Linked DNA regions of Neurospora crassa OR74A. The protein of the gene in region 3 interacts with the protein of the main gene of each other region in a pairwise test. Links are inferred from orthologs where the notes say so. Each region holds a gene or a part of one and is shown on either strand. Other genes may lie near its edges.

Evidence for each region.
Region 1: the proteins of pex5 (region 3) and NCU08002 interact in a two-hybrid assay, tested with the Saccharomyces cerevisiae proteins (2 studies listed by BioGRID). The link is inferred for Neurospora crassa OR74A from reciprocal best matches to the Saccharomyces cerevisiae genes PEX5 and CAT2.
Region 2: the proteins of pex5 (region 3) and pex7 interact in a two-hybrid assay, tested with the Saccharomyces cerevisiae proteins (2 studies listed by BioGRID). The link is inferred for Neurospora crassa OR74A from reciprocal best matches to the Saccharomyces cerevisiae genes PEX5 and PEX7.

What each region holds. Positions count from the first base shown.
Region 1 is NC_026504.1:3,880,585-3,884,890, forward strand, and holds NCU08002 (carnitine acetyl transferase), read right to left. Parts: upstream 2,809-4,306; 5' UTR 2,515-2,808; coding exon 2,425-2,514; intron 2,357-2,424; coding exon 642-2,356; intron 565-641; coding exon 438-564; 3' UTR 54-437; downstream 1-53. UniProt on the Saccharomyces cerevisiae protein: Carnitine acetylase is specific for short chain fatty acids. Carnitine acetylase seems to affect the flux through the pyruvate dehydrogenase complex. It may be involved as well in the transport of acetyl-CoA into mitochondria.
Region 2 is NC_026504.1:2,328,745-2,332,785, reverse strand, and holds pex7 (peroxisome biogenesis factor 7), read right to left. Parts: upstream 2,568-4,041; 5' UTR 2,264-2,567; coding exon 1,865-2,263; intron 1,768-1,864; coding exon 1,072-1,767; 3' UTR 509-1,071; downstream 1-508. Other genes in the region: NCU07661 (hypothetical protein), read left to right, coding at 1-330; NCU07663 (GRF zinc finger domain-containing protein), read left to right, coding at 2,995-4,041. UniProt on the Saccharomyces cerevisiae protein: Receptor required for the peroxisomal import of proteins containing a C-terminal PTS2-type peroxisomal targeting signal, such as 3-oxoacyl-CoA thiolase. Specifically binds to cargo proteins containing a PTS2 peroxisomal targeting signal in the cytosol.
Region 3 is NC_026501.1:8,571,313-8,575,445, forward strand, and holds the start of pex5 (peroxisomal targeting signal receptor), read right to left. Parts: upstream 2,807-4,133; 5' UTR 2,266-2,806; coding exon 2,095-2,265; intron 2,022-2,094; coding exon 279-2,021; 3' UTR 1-278. Other genes in the region: NCU16466 (nucleic acid-binding protein), read right to left, coding at 3,651-4,133. UniProt on the Saccharomyces cerevisiae protein: Receptor that mediates peroxisomal import of proteins containing a C-terminal PTS1-type tripeptide peroxisomal targeting signal (SKL-type).

The DNA of each region.
Region 1 (4,306 bases), on a different chromosome or scaffold from region 3:
TTAACACAATATATCAACATATTGTACAGCTTCACAAGACATGGCGGGCACGAGGGCGTTATGCAAATTTTGTTCAGATATGTATGCCACTTACTATTGACCCTCCTCCCGGGCAGGCAAAAACTACCTGAACCAGATGTAGAAACAGATGGTATATATGAAGTTGAAACAAACAAAAGAAAACAGGAAGAAGGAAAAAAAGAGCCCAAAAAAAAGGCATCATGATATATAGCTAAAACGGACTGGTACAACATGCATGCTACTGTTCTTCCTTGTTCTTCTTCTGTTTCTTCTTCTTTCCTTGTATCCGCCTTCCGGATTCTATGTATCTTTTTCCTTATCCAAAACTCATGTCATGCCTTTCATTTCCTTTCCTTCCTCTTCTTTCCATGTTTCTCAACTTCCCATGCCCTAGCCCAAAGCCTACAGCCTATAGCTTAGAGCTTGGACTTGGGAGCCTCCAGAGTGGGGGTAAGGAGATCGCGGAGGTCGTTGGCGGCCTCGTTGAGGTAGTAGCTCATCCTGTCGGAGCCGAGGCCCTTGGAGACAATGTTAAAGTTGAGGCTGTTGAAAGTCTCACGTGTTAGCATTTTCATCTGATTGTCATGTATGCGGGAAAAGAAAGAGGTGGAGCAACTGACCTGTTCTCGTTGATCATATAAGCAATACCGAATCCCTGGTCAATAACCTGGCTCCATCCGTATCCGTTGAAGAACTCGGAGCTCAGCTGGGAAGTAGACAGGTACCACGAACTCGAGTATCCGTAGGCGGGATCCTGGTACAGAGCGGGGACCTCCTGGTTGGGCTCGAGCAGGCGCTTGAGGCCAAACAAGTGGCGGTCGACGCCCTTGCCGTCCGAGGCGGCCGAGATGTACTCGAGGTGGGAGTCAATGGCCTTGCGGAAGAGCTCGACCTTGGTCTTGTCGTCGACGCTCGCGTCGTTGGCGGCCTTGCAAAAGGCCACGCTGGCCTCGCTGACGGAGCGGCACGTCTCGGTGCGACCCTGCTGGAAGCGGCGGGTGGCGGCCGACTCGTAGGTCGGACGGTTCTTGCCGTACATCTTGTAGTAGGCCAGCTGGATGATCATCTGCACGTAGGCGTCGGGGGAGCACTTGAACTTCTTGATCAGACCCTTGCCGTAGCCCTGGAAGGCCTGCACCGCGAGCTGGTGCTGGCCGATGACGTTGCTGAAGTCAGTAATGGCCCGGTCGATCTCGGCCTGGACCTCCTTGGTGACGGTGAACTTGACGGCTTCGGGCTCGGGCAGGTTGGAGCGCACCGAGGGGTCGGAGAAGTCGAGCTTGTTGTTGAAAATGACGTCGTTGACAAAGTCGTTGAGGCGGTGAGTGGGCGTGCCGTCCATCATGCTGTGCTCGCCCATGAAACCCGAGGTGCCGTTGTCGTTGACGATGAACTGGAGAGGCTTGTCGTACCAGCGGTTCTGGCCGTCACCGTGCCAGTACTGGTGAGCGCGCTCCTCGAGGGTGACGGGGGCGGCATCGTCAAGGCAGACGACGAAGGAAGAAGCCTCAATGGCCTCGAGAGCCTTAGCATTCTTGGGGTCGGCGGAGAGGAGAGTAGCGCGGGCGTCGGTCCAGACGTCGCGGTTTTCGGAGGTGAGAGCACCGACAGCGGGAGCGCGCGAGGCAGCGAGCTCATAGACGCGCTTGAAGGCCTGCTCGAGCTCAGCGGTGTTGAGCTGCTTGCCGCCAACCTCATGGTAGATCTTGTAGAACTGGTTCTTGCGGATGGCGAGGATGTACTTGTGCTCGTCGGCGCTGAACTTGACGGGGTAATCGGCGGGCTTGGCAGCAACGCGGCTGGCGTTGAACATCCACTTGTAAGAGTCCATGCAGATGGGGAGCTTCTTCATGTACTCGGGCTCGAGAGTGCCCTGGTCGACCATCTTCTTAAACTCGAGAGCGGCGGTGGTGATGGCAGCAGCGCGCTTGGCAGGGTCGCGGCGGCGGCGGTCATCGCGGTGAGAGTAGAAGTAGCTGACGTAGGGGACAACGGGGTCGCGGTAGGAGAGGTAGGCCGCATCGTTCCACCACTCGTAGAGCCAGTTCTTGTGCTTGGGGTCTTCGCGACGGGCGACCAGCTTCTCCTGGAGCTTGCGACCAGGGCCATTGGGGGCAATGAAGGCGTCAATGGCCTTCTTACTGTTCTCGAGCTCCTGGGGACTGAGAAGGGGCTTCAAAGACTGGTAGTAGCGGGCAGCCGTCTCCTCGAGGGTAGGGACGGGAAGACGGGGGAGAGACTCCTGGAAGCGGAGCATGGGGCCTTTGGACTTGTCCTCGACATAGCCGGCGGGGAGGGAGCTGTTCTTCCTTGTTTGCGCCATGGCGGAGATTCTCTGAAGAAAGAAAGGTCGTCAGTCAGTCGCGTGCGCGCAGCAAGGAAGGGAAACCATCCATGACTTACAAGAGGGGTAATAGCAGCGGAGGTTGGTTGTCTAAAGAGGTGTCTAAGCGTAGTAGACCGAGCCTCAGATCGCACAATGGAAGCCAACATTACTCGATAACCACAGACAATGGTGGAGCTAAGAAGAAGAAGAGGAAGAATAATAACAAGCAGTGAAGACGGGAACGGGAAGCGGAAAAGGGAAAAAGAATAAAAAGAGAGAGCTGGGCAGTGAGGCAGACGCGGGAGGCGAGGCAAGTTATGAGGCAGACGTGGAGGCGGTGGGTTTGATGTACACCTTGAGGGGTGCTGCCGACTACGACTCGGTAGCTCGGAAGTCGGAACAAGTGGACACTTTTGGGCTTGTCTCGTGGATATTGTTTACTCGTGGAGGTGGCCCATGGGAGGCGGGCTATAGACAGACTACCCCCCTTCCCTATATCTAGACTACTTAACCGCTTAGGGCAAGGCTTCTCAGCTTTTCTCCGCCGTACAAAAAAAGAAAAGTTTTACAACAGGCCAAAGAAGTGTAGAATCCTCAGTCTTCGCCCGGGTAGGAAGATCTATTCTATAATAATCTACATTGAAGCTTTCGCTTAGTTGTAATCTGAGTTTGACCGGACTCGTTTTCTTTCTTTCTTTCCTCTTTTTTTCTTAATTTTTTTTTTGGGAGGGGGGGGGGGGAGAATGCATCTAATAAAAGTGCATTGCCCTGACAAGAGTGACAAGAGAAGTGACTAACTATTTCTTGGAGGAATTTGCGAAAATGACCGATCGTGAGCTAACAGACTTTCACCTGATTTTTGTAGTGGAATGTTAGCCATGAAAAAGATTGGTCAAATTCCTCAGAGCCATGCCCTAAGCGGTTAAGTAGTCTAGATATAGGGAAGGGGGGTAGTCTGTCTATAGCCCGGCTCGGCCCATGGGGGGATGGTTGTCGATGGAGACGGGCAAGACGGGGGGACCGGGGCACGGGAGACAAACCACCACCGACATGAAACCTTGACCGGACTTATTTGTAGGGTACCTTGAGGGTATGTATGTATGTATATCTCTGTAGGCCGAGGCTTTGTCTCCAAAACTGACAGAGATAGATCTCACCGGGCAATCCTACCCCAACTGAGAGCCAGTGTCAGGCTACGGTATCCTCCGCTCACCATGTCGTCGACCATGTCCCATCTGTTTCTTCAGATCAGATCCCATGATGGTGGTCCGTGATGCTTGCTGGTGCTCGATTCCGCGGTGGTGGTACCTGTCTGTTCTCATTCCATCCTATCTCCCTATGTACCCGTCTGTGTACCCGCTTCGCGGGGATCTTTCCGCCCGCACGTTCTTCTTCCCCATTCCCCCATCTCCCGTCTCTTTAGTTTCTCCAACTGCCCGTTGAACTGGGATTGGATTGGGAGGGAACAAAAAACGTGGGGCAGTTACACATTCCGTCGCTATCTATACTACGTACATAGGCCGCTGAGATGATATGAGAGGCCGAGCATACGCCGTAGACTACCGTGACTACGTAGGCGACAGCGGAGGTACAATGAGCAAAAAAAGTGGATGCGCTTGTCCGAGTGACCCACTGGCTGACCCCATTTACCCCTCGAGCCGAGGCTCAAAGTAGCCGACGGCAATGGCATTGACGATTGCCAAGAAACTCTCTCTCCAATTCAGGCCCAGTGAGCTTGAGTCCCGGCCCAGAACAGGAAAGAAAGCCAAGAGGGCCGCCAAACTTCAACCCCACGTTTTGCCGGTGGTGGTGGGTGGATGTCTTCCTCGCCAACTACATAGGTGAACCCAAACGAGTTTCAATCAGAGTTGATCTTCATCGGATTGGTGCGCATCACGAACACCAAAGCAAAGAAACTCATCCATATGTCCGGCTCGCAGAAGTAGAAGTGTGCCTCAC
Region 2 (4,041 bases), on a different chromosome or scaffold from region 3:
CCCATGGCTCACCCGCCCAACCCAAGCAACCCTGTTGCTGTTGAGAACGCCCCCGTGGCTTCTGCTCGAGCAAGCGAGGAAGCAGAGACTCTAGTCGACGGTTTCAATGGAGGCAACAACAGCAAGCGGTACCTAATCACCAAGCAGGAAGACTTTTACCAGGTGAATGACTGGCTCAAATTTGTGTTCTCGAGTCCGGGAGCGTGGGTGTGGTATGCCATTCAGGTGTGGAACTCGATCTTGTGCGTGGTAGGCGTGGTACTATTTGAACCATTGATCAGGGCTATTGGGATTAGGAGGGAGGGAGGCGGAAAGCCAAAGTGGACGTGAATTTCCGAGGATGTTGAGTCTGTAGCCATATTGGGGAACCCCTCGAGAAATTCTATAAGTGGAAGGGGTGCAAGAGATAAGATTGAGAAGATCCAAGCCAAATGGAAGAAATTGGATGTTACAGCACAAACTGGGATGGTGAGACACCAGCTGTATCGGTAATACTCAAGAGAGATAGTCATGGACAAATATGTATACTCAAGTTGACTGCATTCCTTTAATACACTGGTACCACACGTCTCAACGCATAGCGATACTAAGGGTAGAAATTTGAGCTTACCATCATCTCGAATCATGGTATACTGTTCTTCTAATCCTCTAGATGCCTTATACAATTATGTTCTGTCTCTTTCCCGCCCCTTCTCTCGTACTGACCGACTCTCGCGTCGGGACGGTCAATTTAACCCAATTCCTGTACCGATTTATTTCCTACTTTCGTAAGCTCCAGCCAAGGAACACGTTTGGTCAAATCTCCTGTCCGCTGTCACCATGTCTGTTCTGTTCGTATAATGTCGGCTTCTAGACGTACAAACTCCCCGGGGTATCGCTGCGCAACTGAGGGGGCGCTTTTGTGCATGCAATGATTCTCAGCAGCCGATAGTCGATCGGTCTTGATTTTGCCCTCATATCTTCTACTCCTTTACTATCAGGCAGTTTGCCACGTAAATTTGCCTGAGCAATCCACTCAAAGACCAATCAACTCAAATACGTTTTTCCACCTCTTTCAAACAACCTGCTTCTTCATCCACGCAACAGGGACGCAGCATCCCAGAGTAGCACTCTCTCGTCCCAGCCGGCCGACGCGCACCAACCGCCTGCACCGAACAAACACCAATCCACGCCCGTAACAAACTCAGTATGCCTGTTCATAAGGCCCAACTGAGTTCCCGCACGGACAGTGTCAGGCTGGCGCCCGCTCGGTACCGGTGGCTGAACGTGCTGCGGCATAGTGGATCCGTCCGTCCACACGCGCACGCTCATGTCGTAGCTGGCGCTCACCAAGATGTCGCTGGCGTGCGGGCTCCATGCAACGCGGCGGACCGCGTACTCGTGGCCTGTCATGAGCGCCAGGGGACCGCCGGCCGGGTTGCGGATATCAAACGTGCGTATGACGCGATCGACGCCCGCCGTGGCGATCACCGTGTCGTTATATTTGTTCCAGTCGTGCGTCAGGACTTCGTTCGGCACCGTGCCCGAGTAGATGGAGCCGTCGGCAAGGCGCGAGTAACCTGACCCGCCCGTGGCCGGCGCGTGCACGGGGATCACGTTGGTCAGGTGGTACTTGGCCGATACGGGCGTGCGTAGGTCGAAGATGCGCAGGGAAGAGTCGGCGGAGACGGCGGAGACGAGGGCGGCGTTCGAGGGGCAGTAGGAGGTGCTGTAGGTGCAGCAACCAATGGGGAGGGTCTTGAGGGAGGCGTTGCGCGTGGGAGACCACTGAAGACAGAGTAGGAGGATTGTAAGCCAGCGCGCAAGTCGATCGGCCATGATGCTACGATGGTGGGTGGGAGGAACACAAGAGATGAGCACATACAACTTTGACGGTGCCATCCCAGGAACTCGAGATGAAGCTGTCCTTGGTGACGGGATTCCAGCAAACCGAAAACGTTTCCCGCTTGTGTTCGTGAAAGTTCATGACAGGGAAGTTCTCCACCCCCAGGTCGAAGAGCTTGATGGAGCCATCGCCGCAAGCGACAATGAGCTGATTCTCGTTGAGCTCCGACCAGGCAAGATCGTATTGGGCATCGTTTGTCTCAAAGGTCTTTTCGCACTGGACGCCGGCTGCGCTCAGGCCCAGGCAGAAGAGGCGACCGTTGCCGACGATGCCATAGTTGGCGGCAGTGGCGACAGCAAGGCGTGAGTCGTAGTATGGGGAGTACTTGACGGCGTAAGGATTGTAGCCCGGGGTACGAAATTCCAGCATGGACGCCATGTCGAGAAACGTGGGCTTGTCATGTGCTGCCCATCAGGAGGTCTCTGTAAAAAGGTTGGCGTTGCAATGGGCGCACGACCTCTTAGCCGACGTGAGTGGTTGACAGCCTAATGAATCTGCCAGCGACGGTCGCGAGATGAGGCGTTGCACCTGGAAATGACGGCGACGGCTTGGACGTATCGGTAGGGTTTGAAACGGGCGTCGGGTGTAGGTGTTGGCAGAACTTACTGTGACGGGATGGAAAGCTGGTTGGAAACTAATTGAAGAACGCCAAACAGCGACAACGCCGTGGGGAAAGCCTCGGCTTGTCAGCTTACATCTGGATATTAGTGGGGTACCCCGGAAGCCCGCCTGGCATCCAATCCATATCTGGTCGGCACGTTGCCCCTGCCGCGGGCGTGGAAGCCCCGGGCCGTAACGGCGTGAGCCCCACAGCATGGATGGATGTGCTCGCTAACTCTCTAAGGGATAGCGCCTACCCATGACGTCGCCCCAGGATACGTAAAATATAGTGCACACTAGAAATAAGTACCGACGTGTCCCCGTGACAGCGCGTGTTTGGCCACTTTCAATCACGTCCCCCTCCTTCCTCTTCGTAACAAGGACGCGTCTGAAAATACAAATCCATGTTCATCTTTCATCCCACGCGCATCTAACCAGCGTGAACCCGGCCATGGTAACAGACACTCCAACATGTCGAGATTTTGTACTCCTTCCTCTAAGCCGTGGCAATGGACAGGTTCATAACGAGGGGGAAGAGGAAAGCCGAGTTGACGCTGGAGGAAAACGTGGACACCACGCAAATAAAGCAGACTATCACCGCCTTCAATAATCCCATTGACAACACTCCGGATGGCGATGGAGAATCAACCGATATCAAACTGGCCATACTTGCTTCATTGCATCCAGACTTCGGTCATGATGCGTTACTGGATCTTCTAATCACCCACGATGGATCCGTGGAAGCCACCACGGAGGCTTTGAAAAGTGCCCAGGGCGCAGGGCAGATAGCCAAGAAGAAGTCGTCAGGTATTATTTCACAGGCTTCTTTACGCTCTTTCGCCGTTCCATCTACCACCGGCGATGGCGACCATGGCGGTGCTAGTATTATCCCCAAGAAACCCAAGCTCCTTTCCCGGAAAGGCGCAACACTCCATCTCTACGACCCCTCCGACATCAGCACCCACACCCCTTGCACCGTCATCCACAACTTCCTCCCCCCTTCGGTCGCCAACAGCCTCTTGGTAGAACTCTTGGAAGAAGCCAAGACCTTCGGCAAAGCCACGTTCAAGCTCTTCGATAACGTAGTCTCTAGCCCCCACACATCCTGCTTCTTTGTCGGGAGCGATTACGAGCTGGCCGAGCAAAAATCGGCCTACTTCTACAACGGCGCGCGCCTCTCCGATATCCGCCGCCTGACACCTCAGCTGGAAACAGTGCGGCCGTTGGTGCAGGACGCCGTTAATACCGAGATCCAGAAGCGCATCCGGACTCATCACCTGTACGGCGGTAAAAAACTCAAGTACCAGTCCCCCGACCGTTGGTCGCCCAATGCGGCGTTTGTGAATTTGTACGATGGCCCGGAACAGAATGTCGGCTGGCACAGCGACCAGTTGACTTATCTTGGTCCGCGAGCCGTCATCGGGTCTCTTTCGCTTGGCGTGGCAAGGGAGTTTCGGGTGCGGAGGATCTTGCCCAAGGATAAGGACCAAGACGGTAACTCCTCCAGTACCACGTCCAACGCCAACCTCGACTCCCTGAATGAAGGTCAAATCTCC
Region 3 (4,133 bases):
CCAACACAAGCTGTTAACAACCCCGACAAGCCAGCTACATTCGCTTTGTACAGTACTTAATATTTGTATATTCACCAAAACTCCCTATAATCATCCGAACATAGTGTACTCGCCTCACTCGACAAGTAACCCTCGTCCAAGTCCTCATCACACCACTGCTGCTCCTCCTTCAAGGCCTTCTCCATTTCGACATCAACATCGTAGTAAACATCCTCCATAGCGTCATACCCAACCATCCACTCCTGAGCCTCTTCTTTCAACTCCAACTCTGACTCACTCTAGAAATCAAACTCACCACGGAAGATCTCGGGATCCACGCCCGTAGTAACCTTCTCCGCCAGATCCCTCCGTCCCATCTGCGTGAACACGCGACGGAGAGTGTCGTAAAGGGTCGTGCTCCTGTTCTGCGTCATCATGTTATCGATACGCGAGTCGCTATCACCCGCATTGCCGCCCAGCAGCTCGCGCGCCTTCTCGCGTCCGCTCTTCTCTACAGACTTGTGCATGTCCAGCGCCGCGAGCAAGTGACCCGCGGCCTCAGCATGGCAGCCAATGTTGATGCACGAGACGCCAAGGTTGTAGCGGGCGCGGACAAAGTTGGGGTGAATGGCGAGGGCCTTTTCGTAGGCGGCGATGGCCTCCTCGGAGCGGCCGCTGTTGGCGAGAGTGGCGCCCAGCCGGTTCCAGAGCAGGTGGATCTGTTCGCGCTGGTTGGAGGTGCCGAGCTCGGTCGAGTGCAGCGCCGACTGGAAGCAGTCGACGGCCTTGTCGTAGTCCTCGGCGCCGTAGAACAGGACGCCTAGGCCGACCTGCACGTCGGGGTCCATGTGATCGCCATCGGGAGCGAGGCGGGCCGCCTCGAGGAAGAGGTTGGTGACGCGCTCGTGCAGCTGGGCGCGGTCGGTGAAGCCCATGTCAGCGGCCGAGGAAAGGTTACTGGGTGAGATGACGCTGGGGTACTTGGTCGACAGCCAGCGCTCGAGCGTGCGGTAGGCGGTGCTGTCGTAGCCCTCGTTGGTGTAGGAGACGGCTAGGCCCATCATAGCAGAGAGGTTGTTGGGGTCGAGCTTCATGGCACGCTCGAGAGCACGGATGGCAGCTTCTTCCTTCTCGTTCTGGGCTTGCGTCTGTCCGAGGTAGACCCACGCCTCGGTGTGGTCGGGGTTCTTCTGGACCGCAGCCTCGAAGGCCAGAGCAGCTAGCGACAGGTTCCCGCCCTCCTTCATGATACGAATACCCTCTTCGAATGGGTTTGGTGTCTCCCTGAAGAGGTTATCTTCCTCGAAGAGGTACTCTTGCACGATAGGGTCCGCGCCGAGCCTGCCGTTCAGCGTCCAATCTTCCTTTTCCAGGTTCTCACTGTCGAACTTGGCAAAGTCGTCCTGGACATCAATCTCGTCCAACTCCTTCATGGCGTCTCTTTCGGCCTGGATACCGCGCCAGATGGATTCGAGATCGCCAGCACCAGTCTCGGAGTGAAGTAGCGCCTCGTCCATCTTGTTGAGCTCGGGCTCCATGGCGCGGGCCTCGTCACCATTGATCTCCAGCTGAGCAAAATGCTCTTCCCACTTGTTCTGGTCGAGCTCAACAACTTTGCCCTTACCCTTGCCCTCGGGCTGTAGTTGTTGCTGGGGAATGTTGTGCATCTGAGGGCCGTGCATGCCGACCATGGGCTGGTACATGGGTCGCTGCATCATGTTGTAGTTCATGTTGCCCATGCCCATCATGCCACCACCCATCATGGGGCGCTGAGCAGGCATCTGGCTGGCGGTGGCCGGCGCCGCGGCGGGGTGCATTTGCTGGAACTTTGAAAACTCATCGGCGCTGAACTGAGTGCCAGGCGGCGCATTGAAGGCGGCTTCCATAGCCGCCTGTGTGTTGTGGAAGTCCTGAGCCCATGCTGGCGAGGCGTTCGGGGCGCGCATGTGGGCGCCTTGGCTCGGGTCGAGGTGAAGCATATGTCCTTGTTCGAGAGGCATATGAGCCATCTCCGGCGTTTGGTTTAGGAATCCGTTCACCATCTGTTCGAGAGGATCGTCATGTCAGCCAAGAGCGCATGCCTTGCCGTCAACAATATCCATGAAGATTCCTTACCTCATCTTGGCCAGGCCCGCGGTTAATACTCCGGAAGCCACCAACCGCAGCATTGGGACCTCTGTTGGCAAGTCTGTCATGTTGGAGGCTCTTGTCGTCTCCAACATGCTTGGTAAACTGACTGAGCGGGTTGCCCGCCGTCGAACACTCGGCTCCACCCATGAAAGACATTTTGAAGATGTTGGATATTAATGCGACAATGGCGATGTTTCGGCGAAAGTTGACAACGAAGCCCAAGACAGAAGACAAGATGGGCGGCTCTTGTACACTATCTGGTAGACGAAGTAGAGCGCTATGCGGTCGACTGTTGGGAAAGCAGCGGCCCGCGCAAGTTGTAGAGGCAGGCTGGAAGTAGCGGTAGCTAGGTAGATTTTTGCGCAGGGCAAAGGAAGGATGACTTTAGTTTGGAAGAGGGAAAGAAAAAAAGAAGTGGAAGTAACAAACAAGCCAGGCACGGGCGTGGTGAGCTCGTGGAGTTGATTAATTAGTGATCAAGCGGCGGTGTCCAGAACTGAAGTTGTCCAGGTGAAAGAAAGAAGTTGACCGACTCTCGCGGGATGTGTGGCAGGTGTGCTGTCTTGTAAGTAACGACGGGAGCCCACGGATGCACGGGCGGGTTGTCTGGGTCCGGCATGTGTGGATGGCAGCAGCGTGGTTAGAAATCGGGCTCTGCATGCATCTGAAGTGAGTTGGAACCTTGGGCGCCAAAAGCTCAGGTCACTCAGGGGCACAAGGGGGGCACCGCCGTGCGCCACCTGAACAGCTGGAAATGCCGAGGCAGCCAGGGCACCTCAGCCAGCCATCATATCCACCTCACCGCGCTCTTGTTAGGTCTTTTTGGGCTGTGGCAGTTGCCGGCCACACCTCAGGCACTTGTTGCCTGGCCGCGGCTATTACTGGTAACCCCGCCAATGGAGTGTTGTCAACCACACCTCACATGGAGCCGAACCCCAGCCCGGCCCGTGGAGTACACCCCCGCCCCCGCCCCCGGATCCATCATCGATCCCTTCGTTCCTTCAAACGACAGCCGAGAACAATCGGACGACAGCGGAGTGCGGAAATCATACTCGCATGCCGACAGCACGGCAATGTACGCAAGTTGAAAGGGAAAATGAACAATCAAACGATGCGTTTCGAGCAGATCGTCACGTCACGCATACGGGATGCAGGACGCAAAGAAGGTACAGAAGACCACCCCTCTATTCGTACATATGTACAGCGATATAACCAACAAAAAATGGTAAACGAAAACAACTAGTCGCAGTAAGAAGAAAGAAGAGAAGATTTTTCGTAGTTGTACAGGTATCATTGCAAGCAAAAGGTCAGGATGATGTACGCAGAGTGATCGTACTGCAAAGGCGCCACAACACCAATCCCACAGTTTCCCAATCCCAATGTGCCCCAATTTTGGCAACATTTGTCAAGAAACACAACCGGCCTCTTTTCTTTTTTGAAAACCGAACTTGCCCAGTTTTGCCCTCCATTACATCCGTTTCCCATCCTCTTCACCCAGTCATGTCGTAACCATTACATGCCCTCGATTGCGGCTTGTTAGTTTAGAACTCGGTGGACTCGCCCTGGTCGCGGCGGTTGTAGTTGCGGTCGCCACCCTCGCGGTTGTAGCTGCGGTCGCCACCCTCGCGGTTGTAGCTGCGGTTGCCACCATCACGGTTGTAGTTGCGGTTGCCACCCTCACGGTTGTAGCTGCGGTTACCGCCGTCGCGGTTGTAGCTGCGCTGACCATCGCGCTGACCATCACGCTGCTGACGGGGGCGGTACTCGCGGCGTTCGCCGTTGTTCTCACGGGGCTGACGAGCAGCGGCGGGCTGAGCATAGTCAATCTTGATGGTCCTCTCGCCGAGCTGGGTACCCTGGAGCTTCTCCAAGGCGTTGACGGCAGCCTCAACGTCGACGAAGTCGGCGTGGGCGAAGCCACGGGGCCAGCCGGTAGCACGGTCAACGGCGACGCGGACGTCCTTGAGACCGTCAATGCCGACGAAGATGTTGTTCAGCTCGGCATCGGTGGTCTCGTAGGGGAT